2 linked regions of the Caenorhabditis elegans genome follow. The protein of the gene in region 1 interacts with the protein of each later gene in a pairwise test. Each region holds a gene or a part of one and is shown in the gene's direction. Other genes may lie near its edges. The genes, in order: K08E7.5 and ttm-1.

Region 1 (16,455 bases):
CAAATCATCGATTCTCGTTGTCATATCATCGATTCGCCGAATAATCTGATCCGACATGTGCTGGAATCGATCCTGTGTCTGTTGCAGAACTCCTTGTATCTGAGTTTTAGGATTTTTTAGAAAATTGACAATTTTTTTCAAGTATTTACGTACCAACGACGTCAAATCATTCATATTTCCATCGGCTGGAGCGTCGAGTTGAGCGGTTGGTGTGGTAGACTTCTCATCGGACATTTTGAACTGAAAATCTGTAAAAATACGATAAAAATCACAAAGTTTAATCAGTTTTTAAAGAAAATTTGATGAAAAATCAATTAAAACTGGTGAGAATCCAGTACCAGGCAACTAGCCGTCATCTCACAAACAGTGGAACACACAAAAGTACGGGAACAACAACACGAGAGAAAGTACGTCGAAGTGAGAGACGACAGAGAAAAAGAGGGCGGCGAGAGAGTGAAAGAGACGCAGAGAAGGAGTCATTGGAGAAGGACAGATGGTGTAAACGGCGAAAAGAGCAGAATAAGATGATTTGTTTTATGTAAAATAGTGTGGATTTCGAGGAAAATATAATTATTAGAAACACTTTGAGAAAAAAAAAACATCTGAATCGAGGAATTTTTAATTAAAAAGAGAAATTTTCAAAGCAGAATGGGTTACTGTAGCTAATAAGTTGTGTGACAAGTCGTGTTTTCGTGTGTTTGGTCCGTAAACAAAACTTCGGCGCCAAAACTTCACTCGTTTCAGCAATTTTTAGGAAGTTTCCAGAAATTTTTCCTCATTCTTGCTTTTTTTCGTGATGAAATCTCGTTTTCTTTTAAGAAGTTCTTAAATTTATCAATAAACCATCAAAATTCAAGTTTTAGGCCGTCTTGCCGTGATGTCTGCCGACTACTCATCGGAGAAGTTCAAGGCGACGCATCTGGTATTAAAATGTTTCACATTTGTCTTTTGAAATTTTATTCTGATTTTCAGTTCGACGAAATTCTATGGCATTTTCGTTCAAACTTATCACTCAAAACGAACAGAAGAGGATTGGCCACTGCGGAAAACAGTTTCAGCGGGAAAGAAGCTGTGGATTTTCTGATGATTGAAATGCCACGAATCATCCCTAACAATGTTCCGGAACGAGACAAGATGCAGAAGTTCCTGGAGTTCATGATGGACATGAACGTGATTTCAGAAGCCTTCCCGAAGAAAGTCAAGCAAAGGAGGCCATTCAGTGAATCGAGAATATATTTGTTCATGAAGACTTTGGATGAGTTGAAGCATCCCAAGCCCCGATCACGTCGATCAGCGTCTTTCAGTGGTGCTCGCAAAAGTGCAAAGTATGCCAAATAATCATTTTAAACTGTGCTATAAAATATATTTCCAGAGTTGCTCAACCTGCCTCTCCTGCCGCGACAATGCACCGGCCACCAAAGGCAAGGCTCCCACGAAGATTATCGCGATCTAATGGCAACATTGACAAAGCAGGCATCGATAATTCTTCAGGCGGCGTTGAGAATCACGGTTTCGATGATCATAAAGACGATGAAATCCCGAAGAAACAACGAACTCCGAAGATTTTGAACAGATCACTTGAAAGTATCTGTACAGAAGAATATACTGAAAAACGAGAAGTTTCTGAGATGAAAGAGAAGGTTTATGATTGGTTACCGTTTTTCAAATCAAGACGAAATCACACGAAAGTCAATCAACCAACCCGTCGTTCAGCATCCCTTGATCGAAATCATTGTGTTTTGGAACAAGAAAAAGCTGAAGCTGCTCTTCGTAGTCAGAAAGTAACCACTCCGCCAATTCGAGAAGCCCCGAAAGACGTCGTCTTTATGCATCCACAAGGACCGTTGCCTGCAGTTCCTAGCAGATATCAAAATCATCGGACAAGCATCGCAGGATCAAATCCAGCATTGTTATCGCGTGGAAGAATGTACGAATCCATCATGAGAAGATCGTCGGTTGTTCCAGTTGCAGACTCTGTCCAGGCAAACAACGAATGCTCATTTTGGAAAACAGAGCTGCTTGGACGATTGGAACAAATTTACGATCGCACTCTTCCCTGTGAATGGGCATCTAAAGTCGATGGATACGATATTCAGTGGAACATGATTGAAATAGATCATGCTGATGGAATCGTCAAATCGAGATGTCAGGGACTGCAGCCCGATTATCCCCAAACTGTTATTCAATTCATGGATTATCTTGTTCGATATCCCTTCGTCACGCATAAAAAAATGGACACAGGGTTGGAATACAACGTCAATCGGATTTTCATAACTCTAGTCAATCGTCTCGAAGACTTGAATGCTCCTCTTCAATTCGATGAATGCTCTCTTATTGTTAATCTCCTCTGCAAAATCGATAGCTTCGCGGCAATGCTTGACAATGGGCCTGCAAGGCGATGGTCGAAAGTGATGATTTCTTCGTCTGCGTCTAGTATTGAGGAGGCTGGATTGATGGTCGATGGATTCTCCCGTGATCTTCCAGCATGCGGAATTCGAGCTTCAAAGTATCGACGACGTGCGTTATCACCATTTGATAATAGAGTGAATTTGGAAATACAAGGTAAAGAATTTTATTTTTATTACAGTTTCACGATTTTTACTTAAAATTATAATTTCAGACGAAAAATCCTACGAAATCCGAGAGCAATGGTTGATCGAAGCAATTCAATTGGTACTTCTTTCGCTTCCAACTTCACGACGTCGGAAACTTCACAAATTTGTTACATTCATTCAATCGATCGAAACGAATGCAGTTTTCGACCTCGCTGATCCTTCTAACGGATCTTCCAACAATCGGGAAGCGGTAAGGAGGGGATAATTTTGCAAGAAAACTACTGTAACCGGTCTCGACACGACAACTTTTTGTTAGATAAGAAAATGTGTGCGCCCTCAAGGAGTACTGTAATTTCAAACTCTCATTTCTGCCGAATTTTTATGGATTTTAATTAGTTATTTGATAAAAAAAAATATTTATCAATTTAGCACTACAAAATTAACACCTATATTTCAACAATTAAAATTCTGCAGAAATCTTCATTCGTTTCATTCGACAAAAGAAAAATTTGTCGCCTCGAGACCGGTACCGTACTTTTGTCGCGAACTTTTGCGTCTGCGTAATATCAATTTTAAATTTTCGATTTCAGGCAATCATCGGACTCTGGACAGGTGTTTGTAGTAAATGCCGAAAGCAACAAGGAATGCTGATAACCGCTGTCCTCCTCGCAAACTTTCAATCTCTTTTTGCAGTACCTGTTGAATTTATCGAACAGGTCAAACGATTGGAATGTGAAGAAAAGGACAGATATAGTGGTCCTCGGTACGCAAAGATCACCAGAAGTCGAAATGATTGGCAACCACCAGTTCCGGATAAACCGCAAGCATCTCCGGCAGTTTTTAAGAAACCACTAAGAGAAGTGGCATGTGAGAAAACGAAGAAAGGATTGTTCACAAGATTGCTGCGTAAATAAATCTAAAAATCTTCGCCCCATGTATATATTCAATATATTATTTATTTTGTTCCATTCCTCCCCGCTCACCGAATTCTTGTGTCATTATCATCATTTTTCTAAATGTTATTTTACAATTCTGGTTGAATTGAAATTCTCGATGTTCGTTTTGTTCCATAAATTTTGACGATGATTTATCTATATGTATTTATTTTCTTCTATGCTTTAATAACACAGAAAAGGGGGAATTTCAAAAAATTTATTAGGATACATTGAGGACTATTGTGGGATGGCGAGCTCCTCGTAGTTGCCCTCCTAAAAACGTTCGTTTTGTCTTTTAAAATATGCCAAAAATAACTCACATCTTCTTTCTTTGGAGCCACTGGTTCATCCTTCTTTGACGATGGAACGTCTTGTTTCTTCGAATCGAATGAGTCGCTTTTTCCGACTCCTCCAGCAGGTGCTGCCATAAGTTTAGCGACCGGTTTTGGAGCCACTGTTTTCTTCTTGCTCCCACAATGGACCAGCACAAATGGCAAGATATTGAGAGTTAATAGCAAAATGATCTGGAAGCGAGAGGTTTGGAAAATATCAGAATCCTGACAGAAAACTCACTTGCGAGATCATTATTCTTTTTTCGCTTCCGAGAGGTTTTGAATCTTGTAAAGTGAGAAAATATGAATTTTGTAGATTTTCGGAGGCTTTATATATGAGAAATTGTAAGGGGAAGAAATGTTCACGGAAATTCAAAGTTCGAAGGTTGAAATTTTTCAAATTTTCTATCACAAAACACATTTTCGGTTCGCGTTAATAGTTTTCAAATTGGTTTTTTTTTTCATTTTTAATGAGTTTAAAGTTTAGAAATTTGGTTCTACATTAACATATACTTTGTGACAGAGATGGGCGGCAACTGCCGTTTGGCAAATTGGAAAAATTGAATTGCCGGTTTGCCGATTTGCCGGAAGTTTTGGAGGGACTTTTTATAAGATGGAAGCGTTTAAAATTGTGCCTTTTTGAAAATTTCTTCCCGTTTTCTTTAGATATTTTCATAGAACTTGTTTACTTTTCAAAATAGACGTAGGAAAAATCATAGGATGCGTACAATTTTGCCGATTAAAATTGAAATTCTGAAAGAACCGGCCTTCCAGCAATTTTCAGTATTTTTTCTGAAATATTTGGCAGCATCTGAAAGCATTTTTCAACATCCTGTAAATTTTGGCAAATGTGGGCAATTTTTTTTGCAACACCTGGGCCGGCAATTTCTTAATCACAGCGGTAGCGACGAGAGTTTGAAATTACAGTACTCTTTAGAGACGCAAACCTTTTCGCATTAAATAAAATGAAAGACTAATTTTCAATTGGTCCGTGGGGTGCAAGACTAATAGAGACTAATAGAGGAAATACAGCATATATTTTTATTAGATGGTGCAAAGTCCTATTTTCCCAGAAGATCACATCTTATTAAATTAAGATTCTCTGGTTCGCTGCCCCCTTCTCTTCCAAAGTTTCCTCAAAAATATATCCGAAGGGAAAATAAAAAATAATATGCGCAGACGATAATAAAAAAATATAGACAAAAACCCGATTCTCTAAGAGATCAAGCACGTCGATTACGTTATATTATTTTTCCCCTGTCAAATTTCATTGTTATGCAACATCTGCATGACGTCCATCTTCTGGACAAGACCGAGAGATGATATGGGCGGTCTGTACACGTTTTTTTTCTGTCTTTCAGATATCTCATCGTAATAAGCTTGCAGATATTTTTCTAGTATAGTTTTATCTAACATTTCTGACATTTTCAAAAATTTTCAAAATTGAAGCGAAAAAGTTGGTGGCCGAGTTGTTATTTATTCCCGGCCACATCGCAAAAAAAATCATAATTTACTCTGTTTTTGGAAAATTAGGTAAAAATTACTTTCAAAAACAGTAAACAATGGTTCAAAGTTGCATGTCCAGTTTTTCACTTCGTTCTTGTATACTCCCCCTGGTAAAATGTCTACTTCTATTTGTAAACTTGCTGATTTTTGAATCCTTAATAACTCAGTACCTGTAAGAGATACAAAAATATTGTCAACTATCAAAATAATCAAAATTGTCTCAAAAATATTTTGTCAGTTGACAATATTTTTCCAACTCCTATCCCAACGGAGTTATTCGTTCCATAAGAGATCACATTTTCCACAGACCACACCCCAATTATTTCCAATAAATCAGAAAATAATCAAAGTCCATTATCACTGCTTATCCCGTTAGCCATGTTTCATAGAAGGGCTAAATGATAATGGATTCTTCTTTTTTCAACATTCTCCTTCTCCTTCTTGCCTGTCGGTTTCCTTTTCCGATCCAGAGAAGAAGGGGAAACTTGTCGATTAGCCAGTTCACAAATCAAGAAATACCGGTGGATTCGGAAATTTCTCTTTCTCGAGATTTTTGACATGCTTTCGGTTTGACCCTTCTATGTGTCATTTAAGTTTTTTTTTGTTTATTTTCGTTGGAACATTTTGAAAACTAGTGTAAATCTGTTATTATAAGTTTATTCGTTTATTTAAGTACATTTTCGGTCAGTGGGGTCTAAATAAAAGTTACATTTTTGTGTCCCACTAACTTTTTAACTTTTTTTTGAGAAATTTTCAAAACGTTTCATTAAACGCGGTAGTTTTTGGTCATTTTGGGCATAAAAAGGCAAAGTCTTCAATTTAGGTACTAGAGTTTTTAATATCAGTCCGTCATTTTAGTTTTTGATTTGTTTCCTTTTTTATTTTTAGTTTGTTCCTAAATTCTGAAAGGCTATATCACTATTGTTCTGGATTCTACCAATTAAACTTTGATATAATTTCTTAAAAAATAGTTTGCTCCTAGAAATTGTAAAGTCAAAACCCTTCTTTCTATCCTGTCTGCAACTTTCAATTTTTCAATAAAAACTAAACACAGATATTCTAGATCAATTCCATATGCGAAGGCTTTTGATACATCTAGTTGTCCTTCTAGTACTATTACTAGAAGGACACAATGTTCTAGGGTTTGCAAGTGCGCCAGGGACCTATCCAGAAGAAGAAACACGAGCTGGTAATGATATGGAAGTGCCCAAAAATCCATATGAAAGCACATGGACCGGATATGATTTTTATTATGAAAAGGAGCCAAAGAAGGGTACGTTAGAAAAAATATGCAATTTTTGAAATTTATTTTCCAAATTATTATCAATTTTTCCCTGTAAATGTTGGCCGAGTTTATCTTGCACTTTATATTACGTTTCATTTCCAGATTATCATTTCTCGGCAGTCATGTAGCAAAATCAGAATAGCCTGTCAATAACTTCCTTCTAATTTTCAGTCCCACCCTCCGCAGGCAGCGGAAAAATGCCAGCGTTCCAGTCGATCGCGTCCATCTCAACAGACCGTGAATCTCCAGAAGACCCAGGAAATAGTGGTTATTTAGCGTCCGGAGCCGAATCTGGACCCAAGAAAACCACGTCGAAACCTGCAACAACACCCACTCCAGAACCTACCACTACTCCCGTAGAAGAAGAAAAAGTAAAAGTGTCGCCGAGCAGTAGTACTAAAGGTTGGTGGAAAGTTGAGTTTTGTGGCCACGTAGAAATATCTCACCTATGCACCAGAACACCTAAATAGTGGTTTCACACACACGTGTTTTATAAAACTTCACTCCAGATCCATCAAAGCTGCACAAAACCACCAAAACACCTGTCACTATCACAAATATAATATCAACCACCACTGCACCACCAGCGCCATCTAGAGCACCAGAAAATGATCCGGAATCCGGATCCGACCAATCGGAGAGCACTGATAATTTGGATTTACTTTACGGCGGGGGAAGTTCTGCCACAGCCACCGGGGAGGATAAGAAAGGTATTTGGAATAGGAAAATATAATTGAGTATCTAGAGAATATGTAAAACTAACGTTCTAAATATTTAACATCTGAAAACAATTTTCTAGTAGTGTCACATGTCACATTGTAGATTTTGTGTACTGCCTTTTTCAACTTTTGGAGTTCAAATAAAGATAGGTCTTCTGAATACATGTAGTGGCCATTGTCATCGACATATAAGCGCAAAATAGCGCACAAGTGGACATATAAGCGCAAAATTCAAAGTTAGCCAGATTATCAAACTGTCTTTAAAACCAGCACGGCACTCTACCACTAATAATCCCAACTTTTGCACAGACCCTCCCAAACTGCATGATCCACCTCCACCGCATCCATCTGCACCACAAAACCTTTTAACCCAATTGATTCAAAAGAAGAAGGATGCACCAAACAAAGGATCATCTGAGAAAAGTTCCAAATGGTCAGATGATCATGCTTCCGGGTATCCGGAGGGAAGTGCTCCTAGCGCTGAGCCATCTGAAAACCAGTATGAGCAAGATGGTTCTATTCCATCGTCGAATGACTACAAAGAGCTCACAGATGTACCAGGTACAAAGCCAAGCTCTTCAGCTTCACGTGGTTCAAATATGGCAGGTAACCCCACAGCACCGCTCACCACCACTCAGCACACTTTTGCACCAAACAGCACTGAAACATCAAGATCTTCTACTAGCAGAGGAAAGGCTCCTGGGACCGAACCTAAGTCTGAAGCTCGGTATAGCTCTCAGAATCCTTACTCAGACAACTCGAGCACCCAGAAGCCAGAATACGAATCTGGATACCCAGCGGTGTCTGGAGCAAACTCAAGAGCCCAAATTCCTAATATCACGGACTACACTAAACCATCAGCAGTGTCAATTGAATACGCATCAAGCTCGAAGGAAAGGTCTGATCCTCCATTTTCAACACCCTTAACATCTAATTCACAACATGTACTTACACAGCCAAGGCCAAGGGATTATGAAGATGGCCCGCAGGAGACAACTCGGACAAAAGCTAGTGGCACAAAATCACCTAACTCACTCCAAGCACCTCAACAAACTGCAGCACATCTCATGAAAAATGCCAGAGCACCTGGTCCGGAGCCAAGTCTTCACAGCACTACCACTCACCACGTACAAACACCAATTATCACCATAGCACCCAAGTTTTCAGAACCATCACCATATGCAGAAAATATTATGCTTACACCAAAGCAGGCACCTGGCACCGAACCTCGGTCTAACTCTCAGAACCCTCAAACAGATCGGTTAGCCTCCCAATCAGGATATGAATCCGGCGGGCCTGGACGTCCACAAAATGTTTCAATAAGACACCGAGAGAATCCAAAGGGATCTGATGCAATTTCAAGAACCGCTATTACTCCTTCTAAGATTGATTACTTTGCACCATCGTCACCAACAGGGCCAATTGGATATGAACGTCAAGTCCCGAGTTTCAAGGAAGGACCAGATCATCAATATACAAAATACTCCACGCTCAATTCACCACCTGCACCATCACCACAAGAGTCAAGCACAATCACTCACCATGTCTCCACATCACCCGACTTTTTAGAGCCATCATCAGAAAGTTCTGTGCTCTTACCGAAGCAAGCACCCGGCACCAATCCGAGCACGTCTAATAGTCCACCTGGATATTCTGAACTAATTGGCCCCTCTGGTCCCGGTAATGGTCTACCTGAAGCACCCAGTCACGCCGCACAAAACATTCCCAGAGCACACACGTTTTCAGAGTCACAAGGGTACGAACCGATGGGAAACAATGGGCCAAGTATCTTTGAGGGTCCTGGAACAGAATCTGGATATTCTGAGCCTAAAGCTCTTAGTACTGCGTCACAAAAGACTAAACCAGATGACAAGCCATACGAAATACCACGTAGCATTGAGCCCAGCAATTCGAAACCATATCCATCTGACAGTTCCTGGTCTGACCATGACAATGCTCCTGGCAGTGAGCCAAGCTACATCCCGGACGTTTTAGACTACGGAGCACGAGCCAATAATCACGCGGGCAAAATGATGAATATGTCACATGCCACGTCACCAAGCACCGGTTCACCATCTAACTCGAACAATGCGATTTCCGCACGAGACCCATATGATCACTTTGGCACTATCACTGCACCATCTGACATTCCACGTGCCAATTCAAATTTTGAAGAATACCCGGACGATGGAGGATATGACGGGACGAATGATGTGGCAATTGTGCCTTTGAGGTGATTTTTTGTGGGAAATCGAGTCCTCGATGCATCATGTTTAATCTTGCTCGAAACGCATATATCTCGGAAACTACGAGAGCTATCAAAAAGTTGTCAACTAACAAAATGTATAAAAAAGTTTGGCGAACAATTTGTCAGTTAATAACTTTTTATAGACTTAATAGTTTTGGAGAAAAATCAAGATACAATTAGGCACACACTTTTCAGAACACAGCACGGCACAAATCCTTCCACCATCACTACCACGAACACTCAAGTGAGAGCACAAATTTCAGAAATTGATCGGATTGCTGGTAAATAATATCGATATTCCAAAAATTTTTGGAAGAAAAATATGAATCTTACATTATTTCAGAATCTTTCGAGAACTCGGCGCGGGAACCTGTGGAGTATGAACAGCGAATTACTAGTGAATCATCGAAGGGAATTACAGCTGTAACCGGAAAAGATTTTATGGTTTTATTTTAAAATTTCAGCCGATTTTTTTGAAATATAATAAAAATTAAACATTACAGAAGAAGCTTGGAAGAAAGTCGCCAACATGTTGCTCATGTTGTGACGAGAAGCAGTCTGTGAGCAGAAATATTGAGACACAGGTTTAAAAAAAAGCAGCACTGTTTTAAACTTAATAATTTCTAGGCTGACCCATTGCATGTTCAACACGCAGTCGACCCATCACGGCAGTTAGGTACGTAAGTTTCCTCAAGACTCCCCCGTTGGTCACAAAAATAGGTTCGAATCCTGCCGTGGTCGAAACTTTTTTTTGCAGTCGAATCCGAGCCAGTGCAGAACTTTGTCCCTCTCCAGAACACCGTTGGAGGGAACGCCTATATTCAGCCACAACCAGTCGCTCAACAACAGTAAGTCTTTGTTTTAAATGGAAATATGTCACTTTTTTTCCAGAACCATCTACCAACAACCTTTCCAGCAATACCAACCACAGTACCCACAATCTTATCAGCAACCATCCTGCGGGTGCCAGCCACAGCCTCAAAACTGTTGTGCTCCACCTGCTCCTTGCTGTCTCCGTAAGTGACATAAATAATCCGTACAATTCATTCTTAGAACTATCTTTGTTCAGCAACAATTCCATGTTGTCCACCAATACCTTGCTGCCCGCAACCGAAGATTTGCTGTCAGCCAGCGCCAGTCTGTCTCCCTCCACCAACTTGTTGCTCGATTAACTTTAAACTTCCGACTATTCCAATCTGTGGTAGAGCCTGCCCATCGTGTCCATGTCGACGGAGAATGCACAAATCACGTCGTCTCAAGCGTCACTCAATTAACTCGAACTGTCATCAGTGCTCTTCTGCCGGTGAGCCATGGAGATCTGTGTTGCATCACCGAGAGAAACGTGCAGCTCCGGGATGCACTTCCGGTTTTTCGACGATGGTATGACGTTTCAGAGTGAATGGATAGAACTAAAACTCCACTTTTCAGAGTCAAAATTCGTGTGGCACATGTGGAGCGTCAAATCTCAGATCGCCACGTGTCAAGCGTATGGGATGTCTGCCGTGTCTGGGAAGAAAGAAGCGAGATACCGATGAGAATTCTCATATTAGAGTGAAGAGAATGGTGAGTACTGCGAGCTCACAAAAAATCAATTATCAATTTTCTTACAGGGATGTCTTCCATGCCTGGGTCGTAAGAAACGCAGTACCCTATCACAATCGGGATGTTCTCAATGTAATAGTATGGGTCATTTGTTCAATCGCTACAAGAGGAGTCTATTTGGAGGATGTTCGCCGTGTGCACCACAGGTATGAGATTCACGCCTCCCCCAACTTGACTCGAAAAATGCCTCCAATTAAATGCTAGGTGGAATTCAAATTTAGAAAGTACAATGTAAATAAGTAGCTAACAATAAGATTATAACTTTTGAATAACTTGAAAATCAGTTATGACAAAATGTATACGAAGTTCCGAGTTCCCATGTTACGCCTTGGCCAGGTGAAACTCAACATTGTAATACGAAAACCAACTCTCAAATCTTGACACTTTTCAGCAACCCTGCGGATGTGGCCGTAAGAAGCGATCGGTCACCATGAAGCTCGTCAAGAGAGCTCCGATGCAGTGTGACTCCACATGTTGCGACTTTTCAAGGTGAGCACATCTAAGTATTGACTGTAGTGTAACTAACATTTCCTATATTTCAGATGTCCATATCGCCAGAAGAAAGAAGCGCTGGTGCCGTTTATGTAGAGCTCACAGATGATAAGATCACATCGACGGGTTGTACATACCTCATAGAATCATCATATTGACTGCTTATTTCTCAGAGTGTTTTTGAAACATATTATTAATACAATAAATTGCAATAGTTCATTTTTGAAAATCTAACAAAAAAGTAGTAAGATTAGAAGGACAGAAAAGGAACCGGGTCACCCGAAATTGATGGGATTATGGGCCGGAATGATTGTGTGTGTGAAATTGGAATTATTCAAGGAAGACAACTAGAGATCGCAAGTGATTGTTTAAAAAAATATAAATAAGAAAAAATCTAAAAAGTTATGGACTATGGCTTTTCAAAAACCCATTAATTTTCATGTTCAGAAATTCGTTTGGACTACTCGACGATGCTATTTCAGACGCTAGAGATTGATGTTGTTGTTGATCATCGTAGAGTTGGAGCTGGCGTTGATAACTGGCAATTTCCAGACGGAGAGCCTGAAATTAATATCAATTGTGATCTGAAACAGGGGTGGGCTGCAAACGATTTTTCCGGCAAATCGGCAAATTTCCGGAATTGAAAACTTCTGGCAAATCGACAAGTTGCCGGAATTGAAAACTTTTGGCAAATCGACAAGTTGCCGGAATTGAAAACTTTTGGCAAATCGACAAGTTGCCGGAATTGCAAAACTTTTGGCAACTCGGCAAGTTGCCGGAATTGCAAAACTTTTAGCAAATCGGCAAGTTGCCGGAATTGAAAACTTTTGGCAACTCGGCATATTGCCTGCATTGAAAACTTTTGGCAAATCGGCAAGTTGCCGGAATTGAAAACTTTTGGAAAATCGACAACCCAGCAAATTACCGATTTGCCGAAACTTTCCGGCATATTGTGGCTTTGTACATTTCTTTTGGAAATTACAGAACTTCAATTTTTTCAATTTTTTCCAAGTGCGAAATTGTACGCATTCTATGTTCCAACATCTATTTTAAAAGTATGCAAATTCTATGAAAATATCTAGAAATATCGGGAAAAAAATTTCAAAAAGGCACAGTTTTAAGTGTTTCCGTCTTATAAAAAGTCCCTCCAAAAACTTCCGACAAATTGATGTTCGGCAAACGGAAAATCGGCAATATGCCGAAAATCAAAATTACCGGCAAATCGGCAGTTGGCCGATTTTTTTAGTATGTTTTATTCACTATTACAATACATAGTTTTAATATTAAAATTTTCTTCAAAATTATCAGAAATTTTTGCTTCAGCTTTGAAAGCTGAGACTTAAATTGACAACACATTTTGCTCACTTTTTTCATAATGTAATTGTGTTTTTTTTCAAACTTCAATAACTATGAAACAAGAACTTTGAAGATAAATAACTCTTATAAATTCATGATTTACTTTTTCTTGCTCTACGGAATACTCACCTGTTGCTTCAAATGCTCCGTATGCAACTTGGCATCCGCTAACCTCAACTTCTTCTCAATAAGCAAAGTTTCCGGACTAACATCTCTTTTTTCTCGTTCCTCCTGCTCATCATTACCATTTCCTTCTTCTTTCTCTCTTTCTTGTTTCAACTCTCGCTGCTTCATATCCAAATGCAACTGTAACTGATGCAATTGCATTTCAGTCCTTTGTAATTTCAGCCTCTTCGCTTTCGGACCATAAGTGGCTTCCATGATGTCCGACGCCGAGTCTGCATCGTCGGCTTTTGTGTCCTGTTCGCTCATCATGATTTCCGCCAGGCCGGACATCCAATCGGGTACTGGCCCACGGGAACGTCGTTTTGGCTCGGCCCAACTAAATTCAGCATAACGTTCGAGTTCTTGTCCCGCATTCATGTTGGTGATACCCAGTTTGTGGGCATGCTTTCGAGAGAATTTTCTGAAATTAAACGAATGATATTGAGCTGCTTTGAAAAATGGAAAAAAGGAAAATAAATTTTTACTTGACCCATACCTCATATCCCTAATCCGTTGCTTAATCTGTGCAGGCGTCCGTTCTGCAAATCCCATCGACGTTATTTCAGTGGCCCATTCTCTTGCCAAGGTATCCTTAAAACTTTGAAAAAAGTTTTTTCGAGCCTAGAATGTCTACCTACCATCGGAACTTCCTCATTCCTTTGCCCTGATGGTCGTGTTGAGTGGTATTCTTCACGTCTTCCAGAGTATAGTTCGTATAGCTTCATATTTTCGGCTTCTGAAATTTAGTTTTTTTAATTGAAAATTTATCGCAAAAGCTATTTCTTTATTCTATCGAAGATTAAAATTGATTCCTACCATTAAACCCGATAGTCTTCGGTTTATCTTCGGGAAGCTGATTTTGCAGCGCAAACTGTGCTCGTAGTATGTGACCGATGGATGATTGTGGAGTGATCGGAGTGTCGACTAGCGTTTTTCGAGACATTCGTGATGACATAGTGGGTTAGTTTCACCTGGAAGCATTCGTTTTGCAGTAGGAGACATGGTGTAGAGTAGGAAGTAATGAATGAAGAGTGTTGAGAACAGCGGTGTGCGGCGAATCTCAAAATTTACTCGGCAAATTTACCGTGCTTCACAAACGAAACATTTTATGTGTTTTGGAGCACGAAAACGACTGAATTACTGAATACTGAACACACAACTGGGTTCTGAACAAGTTCCTAGTCGTGTAACTTTTTAAACATCAAAATCACTCAATTTTGTGTGTTTGAAACAAAAAATCATTTTCTAGTATTCATATAATCAGTAACGGTTGTTAAATTCTTTGTTGCTCTTTTTTTGAAGGCACACCGGGCGAGAAGCGGTAGGTGATCCGCTCTTTGTACAATGTTTAACATTCAAATTTTTTCTGAACTTTAGTCTTATATGGTTAAATTTTGTTTCAAGCTTTACATTCACATAGTTGAAAAAAGATTCATCAATCTTTTCTCCGATTTTGAAAAGTTAGTGATGTGGAAAGTGTGGCTCTGGAAATGACTAGGACTAATTCGATTATGCAGAGTTTTTTTTTCTTCGTAAAGTTAAAATTGAAAAAAAAACAATTTTTGTTTTTTGTAACTTTCGATCAAACAATACTTTTCAGAAAAAAAAAGTTTTACCAAAAAATCATATTTTTGAATTTTTAAAATTTATTTGAAATACATAGATCTACGACGAATAAAAACAATTTGACAGTTTGTTTTAAATTTTAAGTTGTTATGCCAAAATGCCGAAAATAAACGGCTAGGCATGAAACAGGAACAAACGCCTGAACAGGAACATGCCTGAATATCATTATAACCACCTAGATTTTGTTCATTTTTTTTGCTGACCACAGTTTTTCTCCAATGGGAAAGTTTGTAATAATAAAATTAATGCAATACAAGAAATTCGAGTCCTCTATAAAATTGAGAATTACGTGAAGGGGGAGGCAAAAGCTTGACGGGAATGAGAGGCATTTGGGGGGCACAGGAGACAAGAAGTGATGATGACTAGTATAAACATAGACACAGCCCCCAAACAGCCAGCAGATGTCTCTCTCTCTCTCTTTCTCCCTCTCTTGTGTCCCCGGGAAGGAAATATACGGACTCTGGCGGGTGGAAAAGCATGAATGTGTGCAAGGCGAAGAGAGAATGGAATTCGACGCAGATGGCATGGGCTCCCTGCTTCTCTAAAATCTCTTTTTTCTCGGTCTGGACAACTATTTTTGGGGTTTGTGCAGCGGGATTTTGTAGAATTACGAGTACTGCCACGTGGCTGCACAATTTCGAAAATGTTCCTTTAAAGGCGCATTTTTTTCAAAATTGGATCCACCTAAAATATCAAAAGGTCTTACAACTCTGTGTGAAAACAACTTTCACGTAAGGCTGCTGGCAAAGACGCTTTGTCAAATGTTGACCTTAATTTCTCTTGATCAATAGACCAACTTAAAATTTTTCAAAATTTCTTTCTTTAGATTTTTTCCAACATTTTTGTTTACTAGGAATATAATTACACCCTCGCAAGTTAATCTATAATTTTAGTGCGTCAATTTTCATGTCCTGATTTTATGTCACGCATTTTGATCACCTAAAAACTATTGGCGTTAGATATTTCACCAGGTCAAGGCGTCGTGAAATATCTGCATCTCCAGACACCGAACACCGTGAAAACAACTTGCACACTTGAGAGCCGACGCCTCGAACTGGAGAAATATTTGCTCGCAATCAATGCCAATGTTCATGAGAAGGCTTTGAAGGACCTTGAGGTATTTTGGTATTTTCACAAATCTAAAAATATGACTTAGTCCAATACGACTTAAGCTTCTGACACAAATACTGACTTAAGCTTCTGACACAAATACGACTTAAGCTTCTGACACAAATACGACTTAAGCTTCTGACAAATTATTTTTAGAATCGCTGCCAAAACATGTAATGTGTTTTAACTTTTCTACATTTTAAAAGTATGTTTCATTTATACACACTTGTTCCTTGTTCCATAGCCATAGCAGATTCTTTGGAAATTACAAGATAGAGCCGATCTAATCTAATGACTGGAAAAATGCGTTCGTTTCATGCTCGAAAACTTGATAAAGAAAAATCGTTGAATCTCCACAAGAGGCAGGGGAGGCACGGCAGAAAGGGAATGCACACGCAGATGCTCATGGGCTCTCTACTTCTCTAGACTCTCCAACAATTCCTATAATCTTTCATCTAGACTTGTACGGGGAGCTCACGACGTCTTCTAGGGCGCGGGCGTCCTGAGAGAGCACGGAGATGTTG
Region 2 (15,304 bases), on another chromosome or scaffold:
AATTATTATGAAAATAAAAGCGCCGCGTGATGATGATGGTGGCGACCAGAAACCGAAGGTGAGACCTATTTTTTTGAATTGAAAGAAATGGGGTAAATGTCAAGAAAGAATAGAGATTATTTTGGGGATTATAGATTCGGAGTTGAAGATTTTTGGCTCGGTAGGTACAAAAATACCGACCTGCCTGATTTCACGGTAGGCAGGGTACCTAGGCAATATTATAGGCTTCAAGGCACATGTAGGCTTGAAAGGCTCGACGTGTAGGCAGACATTTACCTGCCTGCCTGATATCACGGTAAATGTAGGCACAGAAGGCAATGTACCTAGGCAATATTATAGGCTTTAAGGCACACCTAGGCATGAAAGGCGGGGTATGTAGGCGCAATAATACTTGCTTGCCTGACTTCAAGGCACAAAAAGACAGGTAGGCACAAGAATGCTTGCGTGCCTGGCATCTAGGCACACTTTCGCATGAAAAGCCTGCCTGACTTGAAAGTACATGAAACATACCTGCCTGCTTATTTGCCTATTTTCATGGCACACGTAGGCACAAAAAACCAAGGCACACACGTAGGCATACCTGCCTTCAAGGCGACCTATGCCTGGATACAAACGTGCCTATAGATTGAAGGCTGAGCATACTATATTGGGAAATAGGCGGTAGGCGAAACTAAGGCAATCGTGCCAAGGCGTGCCTGCCTATAAATAAAACGATATCAAAAAAAAGCAATCGAAAAATGATGTTCAATCTATGAAACTAAATCATTTTTCCAGAAAAACAATCACAATCCTTATCTCTCTCAGTTTCAGTCAAAAAATTCTTCATTTCCCGCACGATTTTCTAGTTGCTAGTTTCTACATTATGTTTTCAACATTATGCTGATATTTCGCTACGATTTTTTTTTTGTAGAAAAGTGCCACGAATTTGGTGGTGTTTGCTCCCAGGAAACGTGGTATAAAATGGAACAGAAGACTCCGTGATTTCAGCTAATTCTGATTCTTTTTCGTAGCTTCCAAGAGTTCATTAAAACTACAATAACCCGATTTATTTCGCTATGAGACCAGAATCTTGTGCCAGATTTTTCTTCAAGCTACTCTTTTCAAATAATTACTGGACAGCCCCAAATTCTAATTTAAGAATTTTTTGTATTTTGGTCTCTGGAGGTAGATTTTTGACCTCTTCTATATTTTTTTTTCTAATTCTTACGTTATTTACTATAGATACATCCAATCAAAACCGATTCTTGGCCATTCTCCGTACAAACTTTTCAATCTTTGAAGGGCAAGAACAGTGATGATGTCATTGAACCATCGGAACAAAAATTGTTAGCATCGGTCGACTGAGACTACACTGAATGTATCTGGGCTCTGGTGTCGATTTACGGACTCGATTTTTGATTTGTCGATAAAATATAAAAATTAAAAAAAAAAAGAAATTCATTGCAAAACCCGATCCCGTTAATCGACGCTACAGTAGTCATTTAAAGAGTTACTGTAGTTTTCGCTTCGAGATATTTTGCGCAATACGCATTCCCAGAATTTTGTGTTCTCGTAATATATTTTTACGGAAATTTTAGATTGCCTGCTTGATTTTTTTCCGTAGTTTTAACTTTCCATTTTATCAATTGTAGTTTCTGATTTCAACTTTCAACTGATTGGTTGAACATTTTTGGAAACGAGATAGAAACGTGATGTTTCGATCATTTTTCCTTGCTAACTCACATTTCTCACACTTTCATCATAAGATCATGAGGAACGGAAAAATGTTTAAATGATCTTAGGCTTAGGCTTAGGCTTAGGCTTAGGCTCAGGCGTAGGTTAAGGCTTAGGCTTACAATTAGGCTTAGGCTTAGGCTAAGATTTAGGCTCAAATCTATTTTATTCCCGAAATTTCATAAGTTTCGTCGGTTTCTGTATCTTAAAATTTTTCTCTTTGAATCTTCAAAAATATCACCACACAAAAATTGCCAAATTCCGGTCCTTCTCCATGTCCACTTGATACATTATGTTTGATGGCTACTGTCACATATCAACGCCTTCTGATATGTCCGGTGTTGTCTATGTCTCTTCGTCGTTTTTAATAATTATGAGAAAAATTGAAAGAATTCTGAAGGCGTCGTCCACTACATAGCTTCCATGTGATGACGATTTCTAGAATTTAAAATTTCAAAATTTCAGAAATATGCCCTACAAAATTCCCGCCAGTACTATAAATATAGTTGGCGCCCTATAAACAGTCCTTTCAATTTTCCCCCATCTTTGACCCTCACATTTTTCATTTTTCTATTTTCCTTCAATTGACATTTACTGATAAGAAACTTATGAAAAGCGGAATACATGAACGATTTTTGATGAAATCATGCTGAGTCAGAAGTTCAAGTGACATGTGTTTTTTTCTATTTGTTTGTTTTAATAACTTACTCGTTGTGCATTTGAACTTGATGTTCTCACCGGAACAGGCGACACGTGACCTTACAGCAACTGATAATATACCGTATTTTACCCGTAGCTCATATCTTGGCGGTTCTAGGAATTATCAAATATTTTCTGTAAGAGAAGGTTCCTGATGCTCTCGAAACTACAGTAGTCGATAGTATACCATACTTCCTCGAATAGTAGTGCAACCCATAAATTCATCTTGGCGGTCCTAGGAATGATCAAAAATTGCCAAGTTTTTATTATTAATTTTTGTTTAGTAAAAAGTTTTAATTGGTTGAGATATCAGTAAAGTTTATTAGACTCAAAATTGTCAGAAAACACCGAATTTGATAATGAAACTTTTTGAAAAATGCTGAAAAAAGTTTTAAAAAAAGTTATGGCGGCTCAAAAAATGACCTCAAATTAGTTGAATTTTGAAATTTGACCAACTTGTCTATGTCGCAAGTTACCAAATCTGGTGATCCTTCGACCTTAATTGTACTCAAGTTGAGTTGAAAAAGAAAAATAATTGATTTCCATACCTAAAATTAGACGGTGATTTCAAAAAAAAATAGTTTCCAGCCGCTTGACAAGTCTGTCAAATTTCAAATTTTAACCTATTTTAAGTCATTTTTTGAGCCGCCATAACCTTTTTTTTGAGAAGTTTTAAAGAAGTTTAATTATGAAATTTCGTGTTTTCAAACAATATAGAGTCTAATAAAGCAATTTTTAAAAAATTGACTAAAGCACCTTTAAGTGCGAGACTAATATAGAAAATACGACATGGTCGCTGTGGCTAAAAGTAGATCTTTTTGCACAGGTTACGTTACTAAGCGCTCTTACAGTAACCTTTCACTAATCCTATAAGTTTTGTGAGTGAACTCGCTGACCTTGGCAAGATTTTTAAATTTTGAAGCTCTTTGAGCCATCATAAGGAGTCAAAATTTGCCCAGCTCGGCAAACTCCAAAAAAAAATTTTAAAAAGTTTTAATGATATTTCTAGGAGCTCCAAAATTACTAAATTCTTAGCACAAGTTTAATTTTTGAATACCTCAATTTTATGTTTTTTTACTATAATTTTTTGAACAAAATCAATAGTTTCGGTCAATTTTTTAAAATCCAATTTGAGGTGTTTGCGGCAAATTCGCCACAATTGCCGCACACTCCTAATAAGGTCATTTCTAATTGCAGTACTTCTCCGGAATACATTTCACGAAACTGTATCACAAACTAGAATGACGTCTCCCCCTTATCACACTTTCACTCCTCCTCCTCCTCCGTCGACATGTATATAAATTTTATGAAAAAGCCCCGACATTTAATCACGAAAATGCTGACACTTTTTTAAGACACCTATACTGATAAAGAGTTCGGTTCACATTACGTCCTTTTCACTTTACTTGATCTCTCTTTTTTTTTGTCTCAACTCTATCATTTTTCCAACAAAAAAAAACTAGTTTCTCATATGTGTGGGAGGTGTGTAAATCATCTCGGCCTCCTTTTTTTCTTTCTTTTTTTGTCTTTTTTCGAAACAATTTCCGTTTCACATTTTCTGCACTTTTATTGCTTTCTTCAGTTCTCTAGAAAATATTTTTAAATTACCTAATATTTTTCCACGTGATATTGTTGCTACTTATGTTATCACATGAGCCTTTTAAAGGGCATCTAATAATATTTTTTTTATATATAAATTGTATTAAAATCAGAGATCAAGCGATCAGAAGATGATTTTTTTAAAGGATTCTTATTTTTTTCCTAAGAATCTTGTAGATCACAATTTTTGAACACAAATTAATTTGAAGCTTAAGCCTAAGCCTAGGCCTACGCCTAAGCCTAAGCATTAGCCTCATCTTAAGCCTAAGTAAAATGTTTTTGTAAAAATTCTGATGAGTTCTAAAAAATCACTAATTATTTTGTTGACTCCTTCTTTCCCCAACTAGTTTGAAAAAGTTCAATTCAAGCCCTGAAAATTTGTACCTTTTTTTTTGTAGTTCCTCCCTAGTTTCCACAACTTTTCTGGGAGTTTGTCGAAAAAATAATAATGTAGCCAAAAAGTAGAGAATACCGGAAATTCGACCCCAAAAAATTCAAATTTTCAACAACTTTTTTCTGAGATTTTTGAAGGATTTTTGATGGATGAAAACACAAAATACTTGATCTTTACATTTTCTCAACTTATTTTTTGAAGTTCAAGACATAGAATTTGTGTCTTTTTGAATTCAGAAGACCATTTAGAGGCAGTCTTATGTCCATCTCTCGCCTACATAAACGGCACATCAAACGATCTTGACCAAAGTTTTGTTTCACCTTTTTATTTTCTAGAAGTCTGCCAAAGTCTGTAAATTAAAATTAATTAAATTCCCAGTAGCTTAACAATAATTTTTACACTTTCGCCTCGTTTACAGGGAGGTAGATCAAAATCGTTTTTTTTTTCCTTCACTTTTCACTTGCAAGTCTCTCGTTTTTGCTAGATAGATAGATGCTTGATGGCAGGAAATACAATCTGGTTCTTCTTCTGCTTTTCCTTCATTGACTATCTATAATCTCTCTCCTCGTGTTTCTTATTATGCGCTTGTGAATTTTTTTTGAATGCCTCACATTTTCAGTCTTGCAATTCTTATTGCTTTGCAGAAAGCAATAAGAATTTTTTTTGAAGTTTTTTTTTCTGTTGAAAAGTTTCCAATTTTTTGTAAGAATTTGTTTGCTTTTTTGCTTTTTTGAACTTTTGGCATGAATTTTTTGGTTTTTCATATAACTTTTTCCTGGAATTTTTTTCCAAAAAACTTAAAAATTTGTGCAAAGCGGAGTTTTCAAGCTAATTTCTTTTTATCTTGTTAAAACTGATTTTTTTTTGAAAATTTTATGTCAAAATTTTTTTCATAAAAGTTGTAGAAGCTTAAAATTAAATGTTTACCTAATTTAAGAACCACTTGAGGTTTTTTTCAGAAATTGTATTTTTGAAAAATAAAATATAAAATTTTTCGATTTTTTGAAAATTTTCTAAACTTTTTTAAGGCAAAAAATATTTTTTTTTCTATTCTTTTTAATCTAAAAATTGCCGGATTTTTTTTGAATTAAACGATGAAATTTGAAGAAAAAAAATCTGGCATTTAAGTCGGTATTTTTTGAAAAATAACTGAAAATTAAAAAAAAATTTTTTGGAAAAAAATCCAAAAAAATACAGATTTTGAAAATATTCACGAAATTTCACTGGCTTTGAAACTTTAAAAAATGCACTGAAAACCTTCGAATTTTTCAATTCAAAGTACTAACTTTTTCATAAGAATCTAATTTTAGAAAAAAATGTATTTCTATTGAAATACGTCCAAAAGTAAGCTGGCTCGCGGAGCTCTTGGAGCTTCATATCCAAAAAAAAAACAAATTCCTGCATGACTCGAAAGATCTTTGATTTTTAAAAATTTGCATAAAAAAATCTTGCGACCTTCCTTCCCACTCAATTTTTTTCCTTTTTTTCCTATCAGCCAGAACGTTTTCCCATATTCAATTTTGTTCTCCATTTCCTTTTCCTATTCTCCTGTTTATTGTGTTCCTTATTCTCTTTTTTCACCCCATTTTTGTCTTGTTTATTTGTTTGTCAAAACGCATTCCACCGCTCCCCAGTCTTTGTGTTGTTCTTTGAAAGGGGACAACAAAAAAAATCGCGGAACTAAGTAACTAAGTTTTTCATTTTGAAATTTCGCTGCTCTTGTCAGAGTGTCCCACGTCGTTTTGATCTACGAAAATCTACAAAAATTGCGGGAATTTTTGGTAGATCAAACCTTGATGGGACAGCCTGACACACATACACGTGCCGTACTCATTTCTCTTAATTCCCGTTAAATATATTTTTTGAAATCTCTAGAACTATGACAATCTCAATGATATCTCCGTCATCAATCCGCCTATCCAGTGACAAACGTGACTCTTCCTCATCCAACCTGCCCGCCAACATCGAAGAGGACACCCAGTCGGTGTCCTCTTCGGATTCTGGAGTATCTGCCGACTCTATTGACCACCATCATCACGGTCATGGGCATGGGCACTCTCATGGGGGTCATGGGCACTCACACACACACAATAATGATGATTCCTCTTCGGATTGTAGTGGAGCAGGAGGAGGAGCGCATAAGCATAGTCATGATGAGAAATATCAAAAGGTACATAGCAAATTTTTTTGCAACATGGCTCAACTTTTACCTCTATTAAAATGACCATTATATTAAAACTAAATTTTTCAAAAAATGTTGCTTTTAATTTTAATTATTGCTATCTATGTAAAAAGCCCAAAATCGACCATTTTAGCATAAAAATGTGTTTTTTTTAAAATCAAGCCAAAACACGAGCTCGCAATTATACATATCAGAGGAAATTTTCAACTCCGGCAATTTGCCGATTTGCCGGAAATTTTCAATTCCGGTAATTTGACGATTTGTCGGAAATTTCCAATTCCGGCAATTCGCCGATTTGCCGGCAATTTTCAATTCCGGCAATTTGTCGATTTGCCGATTTGCCGGCAATTTGTCGATTTGCCAGAAATGTTCAATTTCGGCAATTTGTCGATTTGCCGGAAATTTTCAATTCCGGCAATTTGTCGATTTGCCGGAAATTTCAATTCCGGCAATTTGTCGATTTGCCGATTTGCCAAAAATTTTCAATTCCGGCAATTTGGCGATTTGCCGGAAAAAATCGTTTGCCGCCCACAAATATCTAGCAATACGACGACTTCCTGTGAATTGAATATTTCATCCTAAAATGTTGAAAAATATTGGAAAAGTGTCGAAAATTTCAATAACTGATTTTTTTTCCAAATTTAAATTAGTTTCCCTGAAAATGTTCTTGAAAAATTGCAATTTTATTTGAAATATATAAAAATCAAGGCATTTTTCAGTTAGCGGGACGTTTTTTTGACAAAAATGCGAAAAAAAAACGCAAAAAATATGACAAGAATTTATACATTTGAATATTTTTCTGAAAAAATCAAAACATTATTTGACGCGCAAAATATTTCGACGCGAAAACTACAGTAATTCTTTGAATGACTACTGTAGTGTCGATTTACGCGGCTCTATGTTCATAGATTTATCGATATAATATCAAAATTAAGCAAAGAATGAAAACAAAGATAATACGAAAAAGCAAAGAAAAACTGCGCTAAAGTAGTAATTTATTGAATTACTGAATTACTACGAGATATTTTGCGCGTCAGATATGTTGTGCAATACGCAGTCTCACGTGATGTCAGAATGTCTCATTTCGGCTTTATCTACGTAGATCTACAAAAAATGCGGGAGAAGAGACGCAGAGTTCGTGCTGACGTCACATTTTTTGGGCAAAATATTCCCGCATTTTTTGTAGATCAAACCGTAATGGGACAGACAGCCTGGCACCACATGCATTCTCAGAATTCAGTGTTACCGCACAATTTTAGTAGTAATTTTTTTAAAAACACAGTGTATAACTTTAAAAAAAAACATTTTTTCGCCAAAAAAAAAATGGACATAAAATTTTTTGTTTGGATTTTCCAACTAATATTTCTCGTTTCCAGGGTCGCCGAGCAGAAAAAGTGCTATGGGCAGTTGCAGCACTATCCGCAGTCTTCATCGCCGCCGAGTTCGTCGGTGGATTCTGGGCTCAATCGCTAGCAATTATGACAGACGCCGGACACATGCTCAGTGATCTTCTCTCATTCATCATCTCAATTTTTGCGATTCGTTGTGCACGTCTTCCCGCATCGAAGCGTCTTTCATTCGGTTACGAGCGAGCCGAAGTTCTTGGTGCTCTGACGTCTGTGATCATTCTCTGGGTGCTCACGACAGTGCTCGTCGTCGTCGCTATTCAGCGAATTGTGAACAATGAGCATGAGGTGGATGCTGATGTGATGCTCATCACCGCGGGCGTCGGAGTCCTTTTTAATATCGTTATGGGATTGGTGTTGCACTTCGGAACTGGAGGTCATGGGCACACTCATGGAGGACACTCAAGTCATGGACATGCTCATGATGGAAAGAATGTGAATGTTAGAGCTGCTCTGATTCATGTCATTGGAGATTTGGTGCAATCCATTGGAGTCCTGATTGCTGCCCTTATCATTAGGTTTACCGGATGGACACTTGCCGATCCGATTTGCACATTCCTTTTCTCGATTATCGTGCTCTTCACGACGGTTACAGTTATGCGGGACATCTTTTTCGTTTTGATGGAAGCCACACCGAGCCACTATGACTTGAGTGATGTGAAGAAGGCGTTGAGTGCGTTGGAAGGTGTAAAAGGTGTTCATGATTTGCATTTATGGTCTATTGGAATGGATAAGACTGCGTTTTCGGTGCATTTGGCACTTGGTGAGTGGCTTCTCATTTTGGAGTTTTGAGTAAAACTGAGAAAATTTTGGCGGAAAATTGAAATTTTTCAATAAAGATTTTGGCGGGAATTCAAATTTTTCAATAGTTATTTTGGCGGGAATTCAAATTTACTTTTAAAAATGTTTGCCGGGAATTTCAAATTTTTAAAAAATAATTTTGGCGGGGAATTCAAATTTTTCCATTGAAGTTTCTACCGGGAAATTCAAATAATTTAAATATATATTGTGGATATAAATGCAAATTTATTCAATCAATTTTTGGCCGGAAATTCAAAATTTTAAATGAAAATTTTGAAGGGAAATTCAATTTAGAGCAAAAATTGGATTTTAAAAATTTCAAATTTTCTCTGAAAAACTTTGAATGAAATTTAAATTTTCTGAATAATTTTTGGCGGGAAATTCAAAGTTTTGATATAAAGATTTTGGAGGAAATTTAAATCTTCTGAGAATAATTTTTAACGGGAAATTCGAACATTTTTTATAGGAATTTTGGCGGGAAATTCAAAATTTTAAACTGTTAGTTTTGGCGGCAAATTCAAACTTTGGCTATAAAATTTTTGGCGGGAATTCAAACAATTTTCTTTCGAAAAATTTGCCGGGAAATCGAGTTTTCCTTTAAAAATTTTTTGGCAGGAAATTCAAATTGTCTCTCTGTTGCACGTGGGGTCAGAATGTCTTATTTCGATTTGATCTTCAAAAAATGCGGGAGTTGAGACGCATACATCTCATCTGACTTCGCATGGTTAAGAGCGTGCTGACAATTTTTCTGTAAAAATATTCCCGCATTTGTAGTAGATCAAGCCGCAATGAGACAGCCTGACACCACGTGCTATTGAAGTTTTGAAGATAAATTCAAAATTTTCAATAACAGTTTTGGCGAGAAATTCAAATTTTTTAAATGAAACTTTTGAAAAAAAATTCAGATGTGCTCTAAAAAAATTGGCAAAAAAATTCAATTTTTTCCAATGATTTTTGGTGGGAAATTCAAATTTTTAAATGAGAATTTTGAAGGGAAATTCAAATTTTTTGAGAAACAATTTTGGCGGGAAATTCAAAGTTTTCTGGAAATTTCCTGGAATGTTCTGCAAGGGAAAAGTGCTGCCTTTCATGATATTGAATTTTAATATTTAATAAAAATATATTTTTCTAACTCTTCCAATATTCCAGAATCTCCTAACCGCGCCATGGAAAATGTTGCCGAAGCCCGTTCCCTGATCCGCCGGCGATTCGGAGTTGCCGTCGCCACTGTCCAAGTGGAGCCGTTCGACGAGAAAATCGATTCCTGTGACACGTGTCAACAACAGGAAACTGCTTGATTCCAGTCCTCCATCGTTCTTCTAATCTATTACGATACGGGCAAACTTCTACGTTTTTTTTTTCCAATCAATTTCATTTTTTTCAAAACGTTTACTTTTCTCGACTTTTCCTGTCAGTTTTTTGACCTACTCACACGGGTTGTATTCATTTGGCACATCCAGAGATGCCTACTAATGTTCATATTTTTCCTTACTGTCCAATCCTGTCAAATCGATAATAAATGGCTTTAATTTTTTTTTTTTGAAATTTTTGAAAGAAAATCGAAATATTAAAAAATCAATAATTTATTCAAAATCAATATTTCTGAAAAATCGATAATTAATAGAAAGTCAGTAATATTCGAAAAATCAATATTCTAAAAATCGATCATTTTTTTGAAAATTGATATTTTCAAAAAATCGATAGTTTATAGAAAATCAATAATTAAAAAATCGATTGTTTATAAAAAAATCTCTATTTTTGAAACATTGTTAATTTGCTACGAATCAGTTTTTTAATTGATAAATCTTATAAAACCAGTATTTTTAAAAATTGATAATTTTAGAAAATCAATATTTAAAAAAAAATCGATAATCTATGAAAAATCAATATTTAAAAAATCAAAAATTCATTATGGCTCAATGTTTGAAAATCGATCATTTTTTTTCAATATTTAAAAAATAATCGATAATCTATGAAAAATCAATAATTTAAAATAAATCGATAATTGTATTCCTGAAAAATCGAACACTGAAAGAAAATCAATATTATTTTTTGTTGAAAAATCAATAGTTTTTATTGAAAATCTATATTTTGAAGAACAACACAAAATCGAACGAAAAATCCAATATCTTTATTCATTTTCCACCCAAACTGTTTTATTTAAAGCGGGAAAATACTGAAGTAAACGAGAACGAATAAAACCAGACAAATCGTCCAAATTCCGAGCATTGTCCAGTAGACGATTTTCGCGTTTTTCTGGAAATATTTGAAGATTTCTTGGGAGGAATATTTTGCACAATAGTGGGGAGAAAATCGATAAATTAAAAATGTATATATCGATAATCTATGGAAAATCAATAATTTTAATAAAATCGATAGTTTATAGAAAATCAATATTTAGAAAAAAATCGATAATCTATAGAAAATCGATATTTTGTAAAAAAAATCAATATTTTAAAAATCGATAATCTATAGAAAATCAATGTTTGAAAAATCGATAATTTATTGAAAATCACTAATAAAAAAAATCGATAATTTATAAAAAACAATATTTTGTAAAAAAAATCGATAATCTATAAAAAATCTATATTTTGCGAACAATCGAACTTTTATAAAAAATCGGTATTTAAAAAATCGATAATCTATAGAAAATCGATATTTTGTGAAAAAATCGATAATTCATAGAAAATCAATATTTTTAAAAATCGATAACGTAAAAACTCACAAGCTTGTTCTTCAACTTTTTGATCTTCGCCTTATTGACTCTCGGCTTAATGGACGAAGGATCCGACTCGGGCAACTCCTGAACCCCATCACCAACCACATCACCACTTGCCACCTTCTTATCCGATACGAGCCCACCGGCGGCTCCGTGAGCATCTGGCGGTGGCGGTGGCGGTGTTCCTCCGACTGTCGGCGCATTTGGATTCAGATTGTCGTAGGGCATCGCGGCGAGATTGTGGTACTCGTCATCGGGTTTTTTCTGATCATTCGCGACGGGAGCAGTTGGATCGAAAAATGCATCGGCCATTGTTTGCAGAAGATGAGAATTTTCTTTTATTTTATTATTTGATTTGCCACCGAACTCTCTTTGAAACAGAAATAAATTTTTTTGAGAAGGGGAGGAAGGGGCGATTATATCATTTAAAAGTTTACGGAATTTTCAAAATAAATAGTAAATTTTTTCCCACTTTTTCTGATTTTTTTTTTTTTTTTAAAGTTCAAAATTTTTAATTTTCATAAATCAAAAATTTGAAAATGATTTTTTTTACATTTATTATTATTTTTTTGGTCAAAATTTTGTTTTTTCTAAATCTGTTTAAAACCACTGTTTTCAGAAAAATCACAACTTTTTAGTGTTCGGAGATCAATCTTCAAAATTGTGATTTTTTACAATAAGTTTCCCATTTTTTGCACTTTTTTAATAGTTTTTGAAGGGTTAAACCTTGTTTTTCTGAATTCAGCATATATGAATTACCCATTTTCAACAAATTTAGACAGTTTTTTATTTTTGTCCAATTTTCAGCCATCTAATGACTGTACTTTTTTCCTTTTGGAAAAAAAAAATTAATTTTTCTGAAATCGTACAAAATCATTGGAAATTGAAAAAAGGACAATTTTTTAGTTGTTGTACACTAATTTTGAGTTCTCTAACTACGAAATTAAATATTTTAGAAGAGTTTCAAAAGTGTGAATTTTTGCCAAAAATTGTCCAATTTTGCCACTTTTTAATAGTTTTTTTGTGGGTTAAACCTAGTTTTCTAAATTCTCCATATATGAATTACCCGTTTTTAACAAATTTAGACAACTTTTTATTTTTGTCCAATTTTTCAGCCATCTGTCCTTTTTTTGGGCAAAAAAAATAATTTTCCTGAAAGTGGTCAAAGCTACTATATTCTAAAAGAAGACAATTTTTAGTGTTCCGAGATCAGTTTTGAGTCCTCTAACTATGAAATTCACAATTTTAGAAGAGTTTGGAAATTGTGAATTTTTACAATGAATTTCCCATTTTTTTCAGCCATCTTACTGTCCTTTTTTTGTTGAGCAAAAAAAATAATTTTTCTGAAAATATTCAAATCTACTATATTCTAAAAAAAGGGCAATTTTTTTTAGTGTTCGGAGATCAATTTTGAGTTTCGAAAATTTTCAGAAAAATTATTTGTTGCCCAAAAAAAGGACAGTCATAAGATGGCTGAAAAAAATGGGCAAAAATAAAAAATTGTCTGAATTTGTTGAAAACGGGTAATTTATATACGGAGAATTCAAAAAATTTAGGTTTAATCCAACAAAAATCTAGATTAAACCCATCAAAAACTATTAAAAAGTGGCAAAAATTGGCATTTATTGACAAAAATTCACACTTTTGAAACTCTTCTAAAATGGTTAATTTTGTAGTTAGAGTACTCAAAATTAGTGTACAAATACTAAAAAATTGTCCTTTTTTTCAATTTTTAGGGCTTTTATGCATTTTTTTCTGCATTTAAAAACTATTTTTTTGCCCTAAAAAAGGGCAGTCATTAGAGGCTGAAAAATTGGACAAAAATAAAAAATTGTCTTAATTTGTTGAAAATGGGTAATTCATATACAGAGAATTCAGAAAATCTATAAAAAAGTGTCGTATTCACTACAATCTTTATATAATATGAAATAATGCAATAAATAAATTAAATACTGTTTCATAAAATATACATTTCTTTTTGGGTTTCAGGTTTTCTTGAACATTTTCAAATCTAAGAAGCATATGGGGAGCTCAAAATAATATAAAGGTACAGAAGCAGCGCGAAAAAATTATTCCAAAGACTCTCCAATGTCCACAATTTCCTTGATGAGAAAGTCGAGGTCCTCGCGAGTGATTGCCTGAAAATTTTGAGAAAAAAATTATTGAAAAGTTGCCTCCACAAGATTTTCGAAATTGAAATATTTTCTTTACAGTCAAAAAATAGAAAATATAAAAAATTTCATTTTTTGCCAAATTACCAAATTATTTGTTTCAAAAAATTACATTAAACGCCTGTTCCATACCTGATTCGAAATAATCATTCGGAAGAAATTTGGTCGCTGCTTATCCGGTTGATATCCAACCATTGTGGTACCTCTTTGCATCATGCCGGCTTTAATTTTTGGGGCAATTTTCTCCAAACGAGCACGCATTTCAGCAGGCTCCAAGTTTCGAATCTTTGAAGGCACGTACCAGAAACAAATGTTCAGGAATTCGGGCTGAAAATTTGAAAAATTTGAAGTTTTTTTTTGTTTTAATTAAATTAACTTTGAAATTAATTTTTTTTTAAACCCAGTGAAACATTTTATAAATTTCATAAAAATTAAAGAAGTAATCATACTGCAGGCTTCAAAATTCCTGCCTAGTAGGTGCCTAGCAGTGCCTACCTGCCTACAAGACAGGCATAACTCGCCTCGAAGGTATGTAATTTGATTTTTTTCGATTTAAAGTGTTTTAGATATTTTTCAAGCAGTTTAAAAAATGTTTAGATGTTTCAATTTCCTTTTTTTTTTTAATATTTTTTCGATTTTTCAGAGATAATCACAAAATCGAAAAAAGTGTTTAGAAAAATTAACAAAAAAAAACGAAAAATTGACCAAAATATTATGATCCAAGGGTGGGCGGCAAACGATTTTTGCCAGAAAATCGGCAAACCGGCAAATTGTCGGAATTGAAAATTTCCGGCAAATCGGCAAACCGACTAATTGCCCATTTTCCGAATTTGCCGGAACAATGGCAATTGCCCAAATTTTCGGCAAATAGTGGCTTTGCACATTTTTTTTTTTGGAAATTTCAGAATTTCAACTTCAATCGGCAAAATTGTACGCATCCTATGAATATCTAAAGAAACGGAAAAAATTTCAAAAAGACACAGGTTTAAGTCCTCTAAACACTTCCGGCAAATTGATATCCGGCAAAAGGCTACTCGGCAAATTGCCGGAATTGAATATTTCCGGCAAATTGGCAAACCGGCAATTGCTCACCGAAACTCACATTCTCAATAATCAACTCAAATCCTTCAGTTTCCTTAATTCTCCTGGTAAAATAGTTGGCCAAATCCATCAACTTATTAATTTGCTGACGATATCCCTCCATTCCCTTGCTCTTCCACATCAACCAAAGCTTGAAAACATCATTGTGCCGTCCACATTGAATGGCTTTATCTCCAGTATCAAAGCTCACATCGTACGGTTTATCTTGTTGGAATAGATAATCAGCCGACATTTGATTACACTGGAACAGTAGTCCATCCTGACGGAACAAGCATGCCGAGCACTGGAGAAGTGCTCCCATGAGCTTATGTGGATTCCATGTCACTGAATTAGCTCTCTCAATTCCTGCCAGCTTGTACCGATGCTCGGGAGACAGGAGCATTCCACCACCCCAAGCGGCATCCACGTGGAACCAGAGCTTATGACGTTCACAGATGTTTGCGACTCGCTCCAATGGATCAAATGCTCCGTAGACAGTTGAGCCGGCTGTGCAGCAGGCAAAGAACGGGGTCAGACCCT

The links.
Region 2: the proteins of K08E7.5 (region 1) and ttm-1 interact in a two-hybrid assay, tested with the Caenorhabditis elegans proteins (one large-scale study listed by BioGRID).

The regions. Positions count from the first base shown.
Region 1 is NC_003282.8:12,566,979-12,583,433, forward strand, and holds K08E7.5 (Prion-like-(Q/N-rich)-domain-bearing protein), read left to right. Parts: upstream 1-6,389; 5' UTR 6,390-6,402; coding exon 6,403-6,601; intron 6,602-6,784; coding exon 6,785-7,015; intron 7,016-7,122; coding exon 7,123-7,323; intron 7,324-7,641; coding exon 7,642-9,565; intron 9,566-9,775; coding exon 9,776-9,861; intron 9,862-9,923; coding exon 9,924-10,024; intron 10,025-10,083; coding exon 10,084-10,164; intron 10,165-10,207; coding exon 10,208-10,256; intron 10,257-10,337; coding exon 10,338-10,428; intron 10,429-10,471; coding exon 10,472-10,596; intron 10,597-10,649; coding exon 10,650-10,960; intron 10,961-11,008; coding exon 11,009-11,143; intron 11,144-11,190; coding exon 11,191-11,328; intron 11,329-11,573; coding exon 11,574-11,671; intron 11,672-11,724; coding exon 11,725-11,770; 3' UTR 11,771-11,892; downstream 11,893-16,455. Other genes in the region: hsb-1 (Heat shock factor-binding protein 1), read right to left, coding at 1-99, 154-234; Protein let-99, read left to right, coding at 878-922, 973-1,325, 1,373-2,562, 2,621-2,805, 3,146-3,469; K08E7.4 (uncharacterized protein), read right to left, coding at 3,728-3,763, 3,811-4,014, 4,064-4,075; K08E7.6 (Myb_DNA-bind_5 domain-containing protein), read right to left, coding at 12,077-12,235, 13,160-13,616, 13,692-13,786, 13,834-13,931, 14,012-14,150.
Region 2 is NC_003281.10:12,947,993-12,963,296, reverse strand, and holds ttm-1 (Zinc transporter ttm-1), read left to right. Parts: upstream 1-6,125; 5' UTR 6,126-6,284; coding exon 6,285-6,575; intron 6,576-7,963; coding exon 7,964-8,756; intron 8,757-9,943; coding exon 9,944-10,092; 3' UTR 10,093-10,328; downstream 10,329-15,304. Other genes in the region: Y39E4A.1 (uncharacterized protein), read right to left, coding at 10,955-11,050, 11,520-11,825; unc-25 (Glutamate decarboxylase 1), read right to left, coding at 13,583-13,651, 13,817-14,011, 14,787-15,304. UniProt on the Caenorhabditis elegans protein: Promotes excretion of zinc from intestinal cells into the intestinal lumen in response to increased dietary zinc. Involved in cadmium resistance, possibly by promoting its transport from cells.